Sus scrofa: one gene and its partner. The protein of the gene in region 2 interacts with the protein of the main gene of each other region in a pairwise test. Links are inferred from orthologs where the notes say so. Each region holds a gene or a part of one and is shown on either strand. Other genes may lie near its edges.

Region 1 (8,104 bases), on a different chromosome or scaffold from region 2:
GCCTTGTCAGGTCGGCAGTGAAACACCCAGCCGAGGAGGTAGCTGCACCTGTCCGCCCATGTTTGCACGCCCAGCGCCCACACTCTGCAGCACGGTCCTCGGATGCCGTGCACAACGGGGCCCTGAGACGTGGTTGAGGCAGAGCCCTGCTCACATCCGCACAGGTGGGAGGCAGAGCTGATAGAGAAATTCCAGAGCTGGTGGGGGGATGGGGGTGGGGCAGGAGTGTGACTCAGATGGGGGAAGGGGAGCACTACCAGGTAGAAGGTGCGGAACCCTGCCAGAGGCCTTTGCCGTTTCCTCCCAGGGCATACTTCTTCCGCCCCCTGGAAGCACCCCTGCCCTGGGCCACCCCCTCACCCCTCCCTCCCTTGCCTTTTCCTGCTTCTCAGCCCAGGGAGCTACAGGCAGCTGCCCCCACACGTGTGCCCAGGAGGCAACAGCTGCCTTTTCCCACAAAACCACCTCCTCGGATCTGACAGCCAGAAACAGTCTTAGAAAAGCAAACACTCAGCTCAGCTCATGACAAGAGCTAATTTTACCCCTCCACTCACCATGAGGCGCACCAGGAGGCCTTTACATCATTACAGTGAAAAGCAATTAAAAAGTGTCACATTTCCCTGATTGCCAGAGTTCCTTTGTATTATCAAGACTTCTAAAACTTCTGCCAGACCCACCCATTGGATAGCTTTATACTGTTGATTAATACACCTTAAAAAGAGAAAAAAAGGTCAGGAATCAGCCAACCATGGCCAGTGGACCAGATCAGCTCGGCCCCCATCCTGGCGTTGTGAATAAAGCTTTATTAGAACACTCCGTCACGAGTCAGCATGGCTGCCTCTGCGCTGCCACAGTGGAGCTGAGTCGCTGGATGGAAAACCGCTGGCCCTCAAAGACTGACACTCCCTGTCAGCCCTGGGATTGGAGGAGGAGGAGTTTTTAGTCAGGTTGCACCTGACATGAGTTCCTTCATCGAGGGCAGAATCTGACTTCTGCATTTGATGGGGAACGTGGCAAACTCAGGTGTGGCCTGTCCGCAGCCCCTGACAGCCTTGGCCGGTTGAAGGTCCCAGTGCTTGCAGTTCTGACGTGGGTAAAGCTTCCCACTCCAGTGATGGCTGCTCACGTGGCCGAGACACCTGCAGGGCCGTTCCTCGTCTCCCAGTTCCCAGCACAAGGCAGTGGATTCCTTCTCAAGGGCAACCCTGCTGAACAGTTCGGGCCTCAGGGGCTCACTTGGACCCTGTGATCCTTTGGCCTCCCCGGAGTTTGGGCCTTGCATCAGCATCCACGTGGCTTCCTGTCCATTGCCTGTAGTTGAGGGTCCAGTCATACTGGACAAAGGGTCCAGGGCACGAGGAACCAGGCTCCCAGGAAGGGCAGCTCGGGACCATCATTTAAAGAGATGCGAGAAGTGAATGCAGATACGAAGGAATGGGAATGTCAGGCCCTCCTCTTTCTCAAAGTAAACGGACTGACGACTTCATTAAATCAGGCTTCTTGTGCTGCGGGCCCACTTTGGAGGAAGAGCTGCTGCTGGAGCGTGAATGCGCAGGTCTCACCTCAGTGCTTTGACTTAAACTTGGCGGGAGGCAGTCACAGGCGGATGAGGCCTTTGATGAGAGGAAGAGGCGGCCACCTGCCTTCTCTCTTTTCTTTCCATCCTTAGTGGGCATTTTGGGGTGCCGACTGTGCTGCTCACTGGGCCAGGCTGTGAGGCTATGAGCCTGAGGCTGGAGCCTGGCTGGTGGAAGCCGTGTCCTGGGCAGGCGGGCAGGGACGCCAGAGGCACGGCCTGGACCTTGAGGCTTCCAGGATATAGGGGTTCTTGAGGATCGGGGGTGGGGTGGGGATCTGCTGCCCCCCAGTGTGAGTGGGGTGGGGGTAGGGTGTGGCTGGAGAGGGGAGAAAGCCAGACAGGCCCTGGATGGTGAAGGGCGTGTTATGTCTGACCTTGACATTCTCCACACGCTGATGTGACCTTCCGTCCAAAGTTCTGCCAGATCCTTGGTCCTGCGGACTGACGCACCCATTTTTTTTTCCCCCCTGTGCCAGAGGTGCTCCTGGACCCCTGTCGGACTTGGTGCCCGGCGTCCACCTGCCAGGCTGTGTGCCAGCTCCAGGAGATGGGGCTACAGACGCCACAGCTGGTGCAGTGCAAAGCCTGCGACACGGAATTCTGCTCGGCCTGCAAAGCCAGCTGGCACCCTGGCCAAGGCTGCCCAGAGACCATGCCCATCACCTTCCTTCCTGGGGAGACCAGGTACGCTCAGGACACAGGCGGCCAAGTGGGCATGGCCCGAGGGCTGGAGGTGGAAGCAGGCTCCTCCCCAAAGGTGCCTCAGGGAGGCCCGGGCTGTGCTGGCCAGTTTCCATGATGCTTTTCTCTTGGGTCTCATGCAGACCTGGGGCTGGGTGGTTTTGTTTTATTTTTTATTTTATTTTATATTTTATTTGTTTCATTGCCACACCCATGGTATACAGAAATTCCCGGATCAGGGATCAAATCTGAGGTGCAGCTTTGACTTGAACCTCAGCTGGGGCAACCCCAGATCCTTTAACCCACTAAACTGGGCAGGGTACAGAACCTGCACCTCCACAGAGACCTGAACCACTGCAGTCAGATTTTAAACCCACTCTCCCACAGCAGGAACGCCTGTTTATTATTGATATTGGAAAGCTGATTATGTACCAGGCACTGTGCGAGGCCCTGAAACTATAAAGATGCGTAAGTTAACAAAGTTCAATCTGCCTGTCCGGAAAGAGAGACATGTGATCAGTTACCCTGCAGGGCTGTGAGCCCTCTGATCCATGAAATTTTCCCCAAGATGACCAGAAACCAGGGTGCCGGACAGGGAGCAGAGGAGGGGCGGCAGTTAGAAATACCAGAAGGATCACCAGAAACCAGCTCTGGGGCCTGAGGCCTAGGCGGCCACTTCTGGAAACGGGGGGCCAGTCAGGAAGGACATGTAAATCAGCACATTGGTCCTGTCCCCTGGCGGGTCCCTTGTCTGGATGCCCAGGAGGCCACCTCAGCATCCTTGGGTGTACCTTGAGATTTTGTAGGTTGAACCGTAAGAAATTGGTAATACTCAGCTTTTTGTCCTACAGTATCTGCAGTGGTGTCTGGTTCAGTTAGTTAGAGGCAGGGGCCCAGCGCCAGATGAGGCCACATTCCTGACTGAGTCACTCCCGCCATCGGCCACAGGTGTCACCAGCTGCAGCCTGTCTTGCTCTGCTGCCCCCACCCCCTCCCTGCAGCTCGGCCTGCACAGGGACCCTCTGGGCGACCCCGGGTCACATTCCTGTGGCCTCCTGTCTGCACCTGTGTGCCTGTGCCTGGAACAACCCTTCCCTGCCCCCCTGTTTTCCCAGAAACTCCTTGTCACCCTTGGCAACATTGCTGTCATCCCCTCCTTTGTCGAGTCCCGGTTCCCAAGGCAGGGTTGGGGGCCCACCCTCTGTGTCCTGCAGGAGAGCTTTTGCCTTGGTGACAACACAGCCTTGCTGGGTGTTAGTCCATCTCTTTGTGTGACTGGATCCTCCAGCCGGCCGAGCTCCTGCCTTAGTTGTTACCCCAGCCTTGGCATACAGCAGGTGCTCAAATGCTAGAAAGATGACTTGACTTACAGTTGGGCTCTGGATCCACTTACAGTTGGGGGTGAGGGGCTGGATTTCCAGGCTGGCAAAGAAGCACACAGAGGGCAGGCGGGGGAAGTGCCCCGGGGGGAAGTGCCCCTGTGAAGCCAGCAGGTGACTGTTTAAGAGAAGAGAAGCCCCCCATTTAGTGAGTGAGGGGGCTTCCGTTCTGGAAGCAGGGAGCCGAGGAGTCAGGAAGAGCCAGTGTCCCACTCCTGTGGGATGGAGGAGGGACGCTTAAAATCATAAAACCTTCCTAGGATGCAGGGGGTGGCTGTTGGGAGCCTGATTCTTTGTGTTTCTTCATCCCCCATGCGCTGGTCTCATGTAGGTCACTGCCCGAGGGCCACAGTCACGTCACAATGTCATGCTGTATGTGAGTAGTAAGTCCCTCGTGACACACCTTACAAAGAATAGGAACCAACAAAATGAAAAAAATGAGGCTGTGCAACCTAAAAAAAAAAAAAAAAAGGGACACAAGGGCAATTTAAATAAGAATTCACAAATCTCTTTTTGTAGAAATTGAAAACCTAAAGATTTCTTATAAAAATCTGAATTTCTGGCTTATCCAGCCACATAGAATGGCATTCCCACTTGGAGACAGTCAGCTGAGCTGAGCAGCAGCCCCCTCTTTACAAGGGGTTTCTGGAATCTTTACTTGGCCACAGTCCTCACCACTCCCCCTTGTCTCCCTAGTCCCTAGGCTGACCATCAGGTATCATTTATAACGGAGCGCACCCTTGGTTATTTTTGAGTGTAATTTTTTCCCTTTTGATTAACTCTCCCTTTATCCCCCATTCCCACCCACCACCTGACAAGTTTCATTCATGTTGTATGTTCTTCCTTAAAGACATCAGCGCATGTAGAGTGTGATGAAACTGTCCGGACTCCTCCCTGCCTTCACAAATTTGAGTTCATAGTTAGAGCTGTTGCTAGTAATCATTTGGAATGTAATTCAGGTTCCAGAAACTGTTTGAACATCAGCGACACTACCATGTAAATTTCACACCTTAGTGCCCTAGAACATTCATAATTTAACTATTTCTCCTCGGAAAGCACCCTGAAAGGGACTCCCCATACTCCATGCATATTCCTTCCAATCAGGGCTTTTTCTTCAAAATTATCTTATGAGTGGAGTTCCTGTTGTGGCTCAGTGGGTTATGAACCTGACTAGCATCCATGAGGATGCGGGTTCGATCCCTAGCCTTGCTGAGTGGGTTAAGGATCCAGCATTGCCATGAGCTGAGGTGTCGGTTGCAGATTCGTCTCGGATCTGTGGCTGTGGCGTAGGCCGGCAGCTGCAGCTCAGATTTGATCCCTATCCTGGGAACCTCCAAGTGCTGCAGGTGTGGCTCTAAAAAGAAAAAAAGGGTATATCTTATGAGCCACGTGAGAAAATCGGTTGCACTATTTTAAGGGCATATTTGGCTTTCAAACTGAAATGTTATCCAACCTGAGAGTCAACCTTGATCTGGGCACTGGATGCCTCGTGACTTTGGGCGCTTGCTAAACATCAAGCTCATTCCAGGGGGGCAGCTGGCATCTCCTCCAGTCTCTGGAAGCGTTTGCACATGTTGTGACAACCCAGGTTCCTTGTAGATCACGTTCTGGGCAGCCAGGTTGGTCTGCAGTTTGCTGTTAAATTAGAGACAGATTTGAGCTGGAGACCGTTTTATTGCATTTCAGTAACGGTATTACTGACAACCACCATTTATTGAGTGATTGCTAGAGATGTGCTGGTTTCTGTGTGCTCAGTACACGAAAGCTTTTTTCATCTCCATCACCCCCTCTGATGTGGATGCAGTTTGCCTCATGTCCGAGGGCAAAGAGACTGATGAGACACACGTAGCACTGCCAGGCCTTGTGTGCCTGTCTCCAGACCCGCTAACTCCAAGGCCATGCTTCTTCCTTCCGGTGCTTCTTAACTGGTCTCCTTGTGCTGGTGAGCAAACGGGAAAATCCCAAGGGCATGATCCTGTGGAAGCTCAGGTTAGTGCAAAGTGAGGCTGTATTTAACCCTCACGTGCACTGTGATGCTTGTGGAAGAGCCAGAATGCACTCAAAATGCCAGCATTTGCTCAGTTTCGGTGAATGGGTATATGTGAACGCCTTAGGTTCTGAAAAAGCTCCTCGCCCCAAGGGAAGGTCATTTTTCTCCCAGTGATGTTGAGTAGACGCAGTGAGTTCACACAATATAGCAAACATGCCCCATCACCAGGGACGACCGCCCTTGGCCGCTTCTTCCAGAGGATTCCCTTCATTTTTTAGCTTCCTTTTTAAGATTAATAGCATGCGTGGAGTTCCCTGGTGGCTCAACAGGTTCAAGATCGGGCATTGCCGCTGCCACAGTGCAGGTTCGATCCCTGGCCTGGGAACTTGCAGCTATCACAGGCACAGCCAAAAAAATAAATAAAAACAAAAATAAAATGAGTAGCATGGGGTGGACATCTTTCTAGAGTCAAACCTAAAAGACCGCAGGTCATCCTTTGATGAGCAGTGGAGAATCATTGCTTTCATTTGTTGGGCACTTCGCACACACCGGGCATTGCCCTGTGCTCCTCATGCATAACCTGAACCATCAGGCTCACACGGACGGGGGACTGGGGCTCAGAGACCTTGCCACCCAGATGGTGTCAGAAGAGCCAGCTCTTGACCCCAGGCTTCAGTCCTGCCATGCTCGCCACTGCAGGGCCACCCAGACCAATCAGGAAAGTGACGCTGTACAGAGGAGCCAAGTAGATCTTCCTAAGCCGTTAGTGTGTGCGTGGGTGTATTTAATTTTTAAATTATAGTTGATTCACATTATTCTGTTGATTTCTGCTGTGCAGCAAAGTGACCCAGTCATATGTCTATACATAATGTCTCTCTCATATATCTCCAGCAGGTGATTGGATCGGGTTCCCTGCGCTATACATATAGCAGGACCTCATTGGTATCCATTCTAAATGGAACAGTTTGCGTCTATGAACCCCAAACTCCAAGCCCATCCCACTCCTCCCCTCCATAGCAACCACAAGTCTGTTCTCCATGTCTGAGTCTGTTTCTGTTCTGTAGACAGGTTCACGTGTGCCGTATTTTAGATTCCACATATAAGTGATATCATACGGTGTCTGTCTTTCTCTTTCTGATTTACTTTTCACTTAGTGTGAGAATCTCTAGTTCCATCAGTGTGTGTTTGTTTAACATTCCTTTTTTTTTTTCTGATAATAGCAAAGAGCACATAATTTATTATCAACCCTTTGGAAAGCACACAACTATAGGAATAAGGACCTGGCGTTTGGCCCGAATCCCGTGACTCAGAGACTTTCGCTGTCAGCCTTCTGCCCTAGTTTCTCTTGTTTGTCTCTATGTGCTGATCTTGTTCTTTTTCCCCCTAAGTCAGACTGGCTGATTCAGTTTTTTGATGATTATTTTCCAGAGTTGGAGATTCTTTGGTTTCAACTTACCTCGTTTAATGATTGGTGACCGCAGTGCCTCTAGTTAAGCTAATGCTTCCAGCGTAGCAGGTGCTGGCATCGGCAGGTTCCCCCGCGCCCCCCGCCGGGCCCGTGGAGCAGAGCCTGATAGAATTTGTTTCTTCCCTGCAGCTCTGCGTTCAAGCTGGAGGAGGACGACGCGCCCATCAAACGCTGCCCTAAGTGCAAGGTCTACATCGAGCGGGACGAAGGGTGTGCCCAGATGATGTGTAAGAACTGCAAGCACGCCTTCTGCTGGTACTGCCTCGAGTCCCTGGACGTGAGTACGCGGCGGGGGCTGCCCAGTTCAGGCTGGGGCGGGCGGCGTGGACCAGCCACTGCCCATCGGCTGAGAAGATGCTCCCGGGCCGCAGAAGTCATGTGGTCTGGCGTTTTCCCTGTGCTCACCTGTTAGCTCCCTGGATGCAGGGGAGTCAGAAGATGGGACTTTGTGCAGGAGTTCTGGGGGTGAAGGGGCAGTTCAGGCTTGGGTTCAGCCTGGACTTTAAAGGGGTGGGTGGGATCTCAGCATCTTAGGTTTCGTCGCGGGGCTGTCTCAGTTCAGGCTACTGTAACGGAGTAATGCCACTGATCGAGGAGTGAAACAGACCTTGAACTCATAGTTCTGGAGCCTGGGTGTCTGGATTCAATGCTGGTGTGTTCTGTTTGGTCGGGTTCTGGTGAGACCTGCTTCCTGGTGTCCAGATGGCTGCCTTCTCATTGTGGCCTTCACCTGGAGACAGGAAGCCCTGGGCTCTTGTTATCAGTACGCAAACCCCACTGTGGGGGCCGGAGACTCATGACGTCATCTGAACCTAACACCTCCCGGAGGCCCCACCTCCAAATACCCTGACATTGGAGGGGGGTCAGGGCTTCAACCTAGGATGAGGGGGATACCGAGAACCCACAGCAGGGATCCCTCTTGGAATAGCAAGGATGATGCATGCGGGACAGTTACCTCAGCCGTACTCAGGTCACCTGCGGGCGGATAGACATACGGACCTTCTGCT
Region 2 (7,034 bases):
TGCCAGCCTACTCCACAGCAATGCCAGATCCAAGCTGCGTCTGTGACTTACACACCAGCTCATGGCAATGCTGGATCCTTAACCCACTGGGCAAGGTCAGGGATCGAACCCGCAACCTCATGGTTCCTAGTTGGATTTGTTAACCACTGCGCCACGACGGGAACTCCTGTCCTACCTTTTTAAGGTGGAGTAATACTCCATTGCATGGATATGCCACATGCGATTAATATATTCATCTGTTGATGGATGTTTGGGTTGTTTCAGTCTTATGCTGCTGTGACCCACCCAGCTATGAACCTGGGTGTACAAATACCCGTTCGAGTCTCTGCTTTGAGTTTTTCTGAATAGATACTACGAAGTAGAAGTGCTTGATCATATGGTAATTCTGTTTAATTTTTTGAGGAACCGCCATATCGTTTTCCACAGTGGCTGCAGAATTTCTTTCCTAAGCCCCTGACTTCTTTTGATTTCCTTATTTTCTCCTTTTCCAAGCACCCAGCAATGACATTCTCCTGTACTTGCTAAGAGCTCCCTAAGAGAAAGTGTCTATCCGTGTTCCCATTGTAGCTCAGTGGGTTAAGAGCTTGACTAGTACCCTTGGGGACGCAGGTTCGATCCCTGGCCTCCCTCAGTGGGTTAAGTATCCAGGTTTGCCACGAGCTGCACATAGGGCTTGGATCTGGCATTGCTCTGGCTGTGGTGCAGGCCAGCAGCTGCAGCTCTGATTGGACCCCTGGCCCAGGAACTTCCATATGCCACGGGTGCAGGCATTAAAAAAAGGAAAAATGTCCATCCTTCTCTTCCATAATTCTCAGATGTTAAAGCTGAGTTGACTGTTTGCAGCAACATGAATGGACTTAAAGGCATTATGCTAAGTGAAATAAGTCAGACAGAGAAAGATAAATATTGTGTGATCTTACTTATATGAGAAACCTAAAAACAAAACTCATAGGAAAAGAGATCAGACCTGTGGTTGCCAGAGGTGGAGGGTGGGGGAAGGGAAAATTGGATGAAGGCAGACAAAAGGTACAAACTTGCAGTTGTAGATAATGACTTGGGATGTATTGTATAACATGACTACAGCTAACACCACAGTGTGATAGGCAGGAAAATTGTTGAGAATAAATCCTAAGTGCTCTCATCACAAGGAGAAAAAATTTTTTCTTTTTTCTTTTTCTTTTTTTTTTTATTATTATCTATATGAGAAGGAGGATGTCAGCTGAACCTACTGTGGTCGTCATTTCACAGTATATTTAGTTCTCATTGTGGTGCAGCGGAAACAAATCTGACTAGTATCCATGAGGATGCAGGTTCGATCCCTGGCCTTGCTCAGTGAGTCTGGGATCCGGTGTTGCCATGAGCTGTGTTGTAGGTTGCAGACGCAGCCTGGATCTTGCATTTCTGTGGCTGTGGCATAGGCCAGCAGCTGTAGCTCCAATTCAGCCCCTAGCCTGGGAACCTCCATATGCTGTGAGTGTGGCCCTAAGAAGCACAATGTATTTAAATCAAACCATCATGCTGTACACCTTATTATTATTGTTATTTTGGCTTTTTAGGGCCACACCTGAGGCATATGGAAGTTCCCAGGCTAGGGGTCGAATTGGAGCTACTGCTGCCAACTTACAACACAGCCACAGCAACACAGGATCTGTGCCGAGTCTGAGACCTACACCACAGCTCACAGCAATGTTGGATCCTTTAACCACTGGATCAAACCTGCATCCTCGTGGATACCAGTCAGCTTCATTTCCACTGAGCCACAACGGGAACTTAAACTTAGTGATATATGGCAGTTATATTTCAATAAATCTGGAAAAGTGTAGATATAAATTTATAAGTGATATATATATAAATGATATATAATAAAAATTAGTATAATTATCAATATAATAAAAAGAAGCTGAGATGGTCTTTAGGGCTCATCTAACCAAACTTGACTATTTTTTTTTTTTTTTTTTTTTTTTTTTTTTTTTTTTTTTTTGTTGTTGTTTTTTTGCTCATATGAGTTCAGTAGGTCAATCGAGCTGTAACGCTACGCAGACACAGCAACGCGGATCGACCGCGTCTGAACTACCATAGCACGGCACGCAGATCGTTAACCATGCCAACAAAAGATCGGAAAAACTGGACGGGACCTATCAGAGGACTGATGAGAGGCAGCTGGTTGTTGGTTGCACCGCAAAAGCCTGGGTCTAGCTCTTGGGACTGCCAGGCCCCGTGTCCTTTTGGGACTCCACTCTTTCATGAATCCACAGCTCAGTTGCCAGGTGAATACAGGTGCCATGGGTGTCCCTGTTTATGGGTCTTCCTCGGAGTGGAGCAGAGGATGCCTGGGACCCTAGGGTGGGGGGCAGGGAGAGGGGGAACCCAGACCAAGGGCCTAGGAGGAAAATGAGCTTTTCAGAGTGGCCCTTCTCTTGCCCAGGAGAAACCGCCCTACAACCTCAGGGCCTTCAACCTTCGCATCAGCTTCCCGGAGGAGTACCCATTCAAGCCCCCGACGGTGACGTTTACAACTAGGATCTACCACCCCAACGTGGACAGCGAAGGCCAGGTGTGTCTGCCCATCATCAGCAACGAGAACTGGAAGCCCTGCACCAAGACCTGCCAAGGTGGGCTGGGCCCTGCCAGAGGAAGGGACCCATGCTGGATGGGGTCAGAGGACCGCTTTTGAGTTAGAATAGCCCAGAAGGGAGGAGATAAAAATTGTGAGTCTAGGCGTTCCCATCGTGGCTCAGTGGTTAACGAACCCAACTAGTATCCAGGAGGACTCAGGTTTGATCTCTGGCCTTGCTCAGTGGGTTAAGGATCCGGTGTGGCTGTGGCTGTGGCGTAGACTGGCAGCTGTAGCTCTGATCAGATCCCTAGCCTGGGAACCTCTATATGTTGTAGGCACGGCTGTAAAAAGACAAAAAAAAAAAAAAAAAATTTGTGCATCTCAGCTGAGCCTGTTGTCAGAAAGCAGGGATGCATTCTGAGATCCTGAGCTGGCTGACCTGCTCCTGACTCTGTTCTCATACCTGGGCAGGTGCGCAGAGCAGTGTTGCTGAGGGAAGGAGCTGGGCTGTAGCAGGTAGGGCTTGGGATAAGTAAGGCCACCCAGGGACCTTGGTGTAGTCTCTGTTATTTCCAGGGTTCAGTGCCCTACATGACAGCTGAGGGGATTGGCCTAATAATGCTAATACACATGACTTAATTAAACATTTTTGGCACTGTGCTGAGAGCTTTGCATGCTTTTTTTTTTTTTTTTTTTTTTGCTGCATTTGCAGCATATGGAAGTTCCTAGGCCAAGGACTAAACCCGAGCCACGGCAGCAGCCAAAACTGCTGCAGTGAAAACACCAGATTCTTAACCTACTGAACCAGAAGAGAACCCCACAAATGTCATTTTTTAAAAATTCACTTTCAGTGGCGTTCACTGGTGGCTCCGTGGGTTAAGGATCTGGCATTGTCACTGCTGTGGCTCCGGTTGCTGCTGTGGGGCAGGTTCAGTCCCGGGCCTAGGAACTTCCCCGTACCTGGGGCATGGCCAAAAAAAAATTCACTTTTTTAAAGATTGAAATATAATGTATTTACAGTGGTGTGTTAGTTTTATAGTAGTTTGTATCTGCTAATCCCATCTCCTGATTTATCCCTCTCTTCCCCTTTCCCCTTTAGTAACCACAAGTTTGTTTTCTATGTCCGTGAATCTGTTTCTGTTTTGTGAACAAGTTCATTTGTATCATATTTTAGATTCCACATACAAGGGATATCATATTTGTCTTTGTCTGACTTAACTCACTTAGTATGACCATCTCTAGGTCCAGCCATTTTGCTGCAAATGACATTATTTTGTTCTTTTTTACGGCTGAGTAATATTCTGTTGTGTGTATGTATGTGTGTATACACACACCACATCTTTATCCTTTGATCTGTCGATGGACATTTAGGTTGCTTCCACATCTTACCTATTGTAAAAAGTGCTGCTATGGGAGCTCCCTTCATGGCTCAGTGGTTAAAGAACTCGACTAGGATCCATGAGGTTGCGGGTTCGATCCCTGGCCTTGCTCAGTGGGTTAAGGATCCCATGTTGCCATGAGCTGTGGTGTAGCTCGCAGACATGGCTCAGATGCTGTGTTGCTATGGCTGTGGCGTAGGCTGGCAGCTGTAGCTCCCGTTCAACCCATAGCCGGGAACTTCCATATGCCATAGGTATGGCCCTCAAAAGACAAAACAAAAACCAAAAAGGAAAACAAAAACGGGAGAGCAGAGTAGTTCTTGTTGAAAGGGATAGAACTCAGAAACTCCATTTTTCTCCCCGTGATGAGAAGCTTCTGTGACACGATGAATCAGAGTTAGAAAACTGCTGATGTAACCAGGAAGGGCTTTGGGCATCATCAGCGAAGATGGTGAGGGGCCTTGGATGCGGTTGTAGAGCCATCCTGCGACATGGACCCTCCTGCGGGGGTGGGGTGGGGGTCCCCCCCACAGAGTGAGCGTGGCATTTTGGCGGCGGGGGTGGGGGAGGGAGGGAACCACCACCTTCTTCCCAGGATTTTTACTTTCCGTCCTGATGTCGGGATCTGACCTCTCTCCACAGTCCTGGAGGCCCTCAACGTGCTGGTGAATAGACCAGAGCCAGGGCAGCCCCTTCGGGTGGAGCTCGCCGACCAGCTGACCCAGGACCCGGAGCTGTTCAACAGGAAGGCCGAAGAGTTCACCCTCCAGTTCGGAGTGGACCGGCCCTCCTAACTCTGCCCGTGACCCGTCTCTGCACCAGATCCTCTCTGCGTGATGGACGGACATACCGCACGGATGGGGAGCCAGAGCCCCTTTGTGATCCTGCTCACTTCTTCCAAGTTTTCCCTTGTAGGCTGTTAGTCATTAGTGTGTGTGTGTGCGTGTGTGTCCGTGTGTGAACGCGCAGGTGTGTGTATGGGGGGGGGTACAGATGTTTGTGGTATGTGGACCCAGGGCCCACAGGTGCGCTTGTCCCACTCCCTTTTTCTGCTCCAGAGCCAGGGACATCGAGGTTTGCAGAGTCACAGGCCAGCTCTTCTGGACTCTGTGAGATGGGATTCCTGGTTTCGCTAGTTGGTCCATCGTAGAGACTCAGGCCACCTTCCAAGCCAGCTTGTGGGCAGTGAGCCCAGCAGCTGACCGGAATCCCGCGCCATGGTCCAGGCACGGGGTGGAGGGGTGGTGGGGTGTATGGGTAGGAGGCAGGTCCTAGGGTGGGGATCCTTTTCACAATGGATCATTTTGTTGATTGAGTGAATGAGATCAGCCAGACCGCTGATAGGTACACATAGATTTAGGTGCAAAACCTTTTCTCTTCCACTGATGAAACATAAAGTGAAAAATCTAATCTCAGAGTTTCCTCATGGCCCAGTGGGTTCAGGATCTGACATTGTCACTGCAGTGGCTTGGGTTGCTGCTGTGGCACGGGTTCGATCCCCGGCCCAGAAACGTCCACATGCCTACATGGTTTCAAAACCACTTGCTGTCCCATTAGGTTGCTGGTTCCTGGGGACCAGGCTTTAAGCAGAGAGAGGTCTCCCCTCCAGCTTCCAGTCCAGGGGGGAGCCACGGCGACCATGTGCTTGCCCAGCCATTAAAGTCACAGATGAACTGTGGACTCCAGCTGATTGTTCATTGAAGAATGGGGGTTCATTGGGAGAAGAGGAGGCGGGGATTTAGCTGCAGTATTTTTTTTTTTTTTTAGGGCCATGGGTGTAGCATATGGAAGTTCCCAGTCTTGGGATTGAAACAGAACTACAGCCACCAGCTTCCGTAAGTACACTGAAGCTCACGGCAATGCTAGATCCTTAACCCACTGAGCTAAGCCAGGGATTGAACCCTTGTCCTTATGGACACTAGTCGGGTTTGTTACCACTGAGCCACTCCTAGCTGCAGTCTCATAAAAGATGTGACCTTGCTTCCATTTATGTTTGGCTCTGGTAACCCCAAGCCTTGTGGGGAAAGCTGGCCATGAGGGACCAGGCCACCCTCGGCCGGAGGGGTCATCAACATGTCCGCAATAGTAACATCCCCATTTTATGGGTGAAACAACCAAGGCACAGCTTCAGAGGGTTGCCAGGTCCACGCCGCCAGTCAAGGCAGAGGGCACACCTCTGGCCACAGTGCCACGCTGGCTGGTTTCTGTGTCTGTGATCTTCGTGAGCTGTTCTCACCAGCCCACGTGCTGCCGAGTGGCTGATAGAGCCAGGAAGGCTTGTTAGCAGGAAGTTGTAACTCAGCTCTCAGTTATAAGGAGCAGTGGAAAAACACAAGCCAAAACTTCAGCCAGAGTAGGAGGGATTATCTTAACTCGAAGGAAGAAGTTTCTGGGTGCAATGGTTCTAAGCTCCTGGATAATCACTGGCTTTTAAGAGACAGAATATAGGGTATCACTGAATCAAGGGAATCGCCCCAGGCCCCACTAGCCTAATATGGGAGACGTTTCTAGAGAATCTTCTACTCTGGCCCTTGCCCTCGGATTCCGTAACCTGACAGAAGTGTGGACAGAAGCAAAAGCATTGGGAAAGTACCACTCGTGGCTGGAAATGTAAGATGTGTTGTTACTTTGGGCCACCACTTACAAAACACTTAGGTGACAGGCCCTAGGTGAGGCTTTTTGTCCTCTTGCAGGTCTCATTCAACCCACACAGCTCCTCCATGAGTTTGAACTCCTGTTATTCCTCTTTAGACAGTAAACTGAGGCTCAGAGAGGTTAACTCACTGACCCAGGGACACACAGCTAGTGAGTGGTGGGACCCAGGCTGCTATCCTTTCCCAGATGCCCTTCATGGTTGTTGAGAAAATCATATCAAGTGATTTGATATGAAAATCAAGAAATCAGGAGTTCCCGTCATGGCTCAGTGGTTAATGAGCCCAGCTAGCATCCATGAGGACGTGGGTTCGATCCCTGGCCTTGCCCAGTGAGTTAAGGATCCGGTGTTGCCCTGAGCTGTGGTGTAGGTTGCAGATGCGGCTCGGATGCCGTGTGGCTGTGGCTGTGGCGTAGGCTGGCAGCTGTAGCTCTGATTCAACCCC

Evidence for each region. The genes of interacting proteins can lie anywhere in the genome.
Region 1: the proteins of UBE2L6 (region 2) and RNF144A interact in a two-hybrid assay, tested with the Homo sapiens proteins (2 studies listed by BioGRID and IntAct). The link is inferred for Sus scrofa from reciprocal best matches to the Homo sapiens genes UBE2L6 and RNF144A.

Annotation. Positions count from the first base shown.
Region 1 is NC_010445.4:128,764,839-128,772,942, reverse strand, and holds part of RNF144A (E3 ubiquitin-protein ligase RNF144A), read left to right. Parts: intron 1-2,055; coding exon 2,056-2,263; intron 2,264-7,226; coding exon 7,227-7,374; intron 7,375-8,104. UniProt on the Homo sapiens protein: E3 ubiquitin-protein ligase which accepts ubiquitin from E2 ubiquitin-conjugating enzymes UBE2L3 and UBE2L6 in the form of a thioester and then directly transfers the ubiquitin to targeted substrates.
Region 2 is NC_010444.4:13,363,717-13,370,750, forward strand, and holds the end of UBE2L6 (ubiquitin/ISG15-conjugating enzyme E2 L6), read left to right. Parts: intron 1-2,425; coding exon 2,426-2,612; intron 2,613-4,578; coding exon 4,579-4,730; downstream 4,731-7,034. UniProt on the Homo sapiens protein: Catalyzes the covalent attachment of ubiquitin or ISG15 to other proteins. Functions in the E6/E6-AP-induced ubiquitination of p53/TP53. Promotes ubiquitination and subsequent proteasomal degradation of FLT3.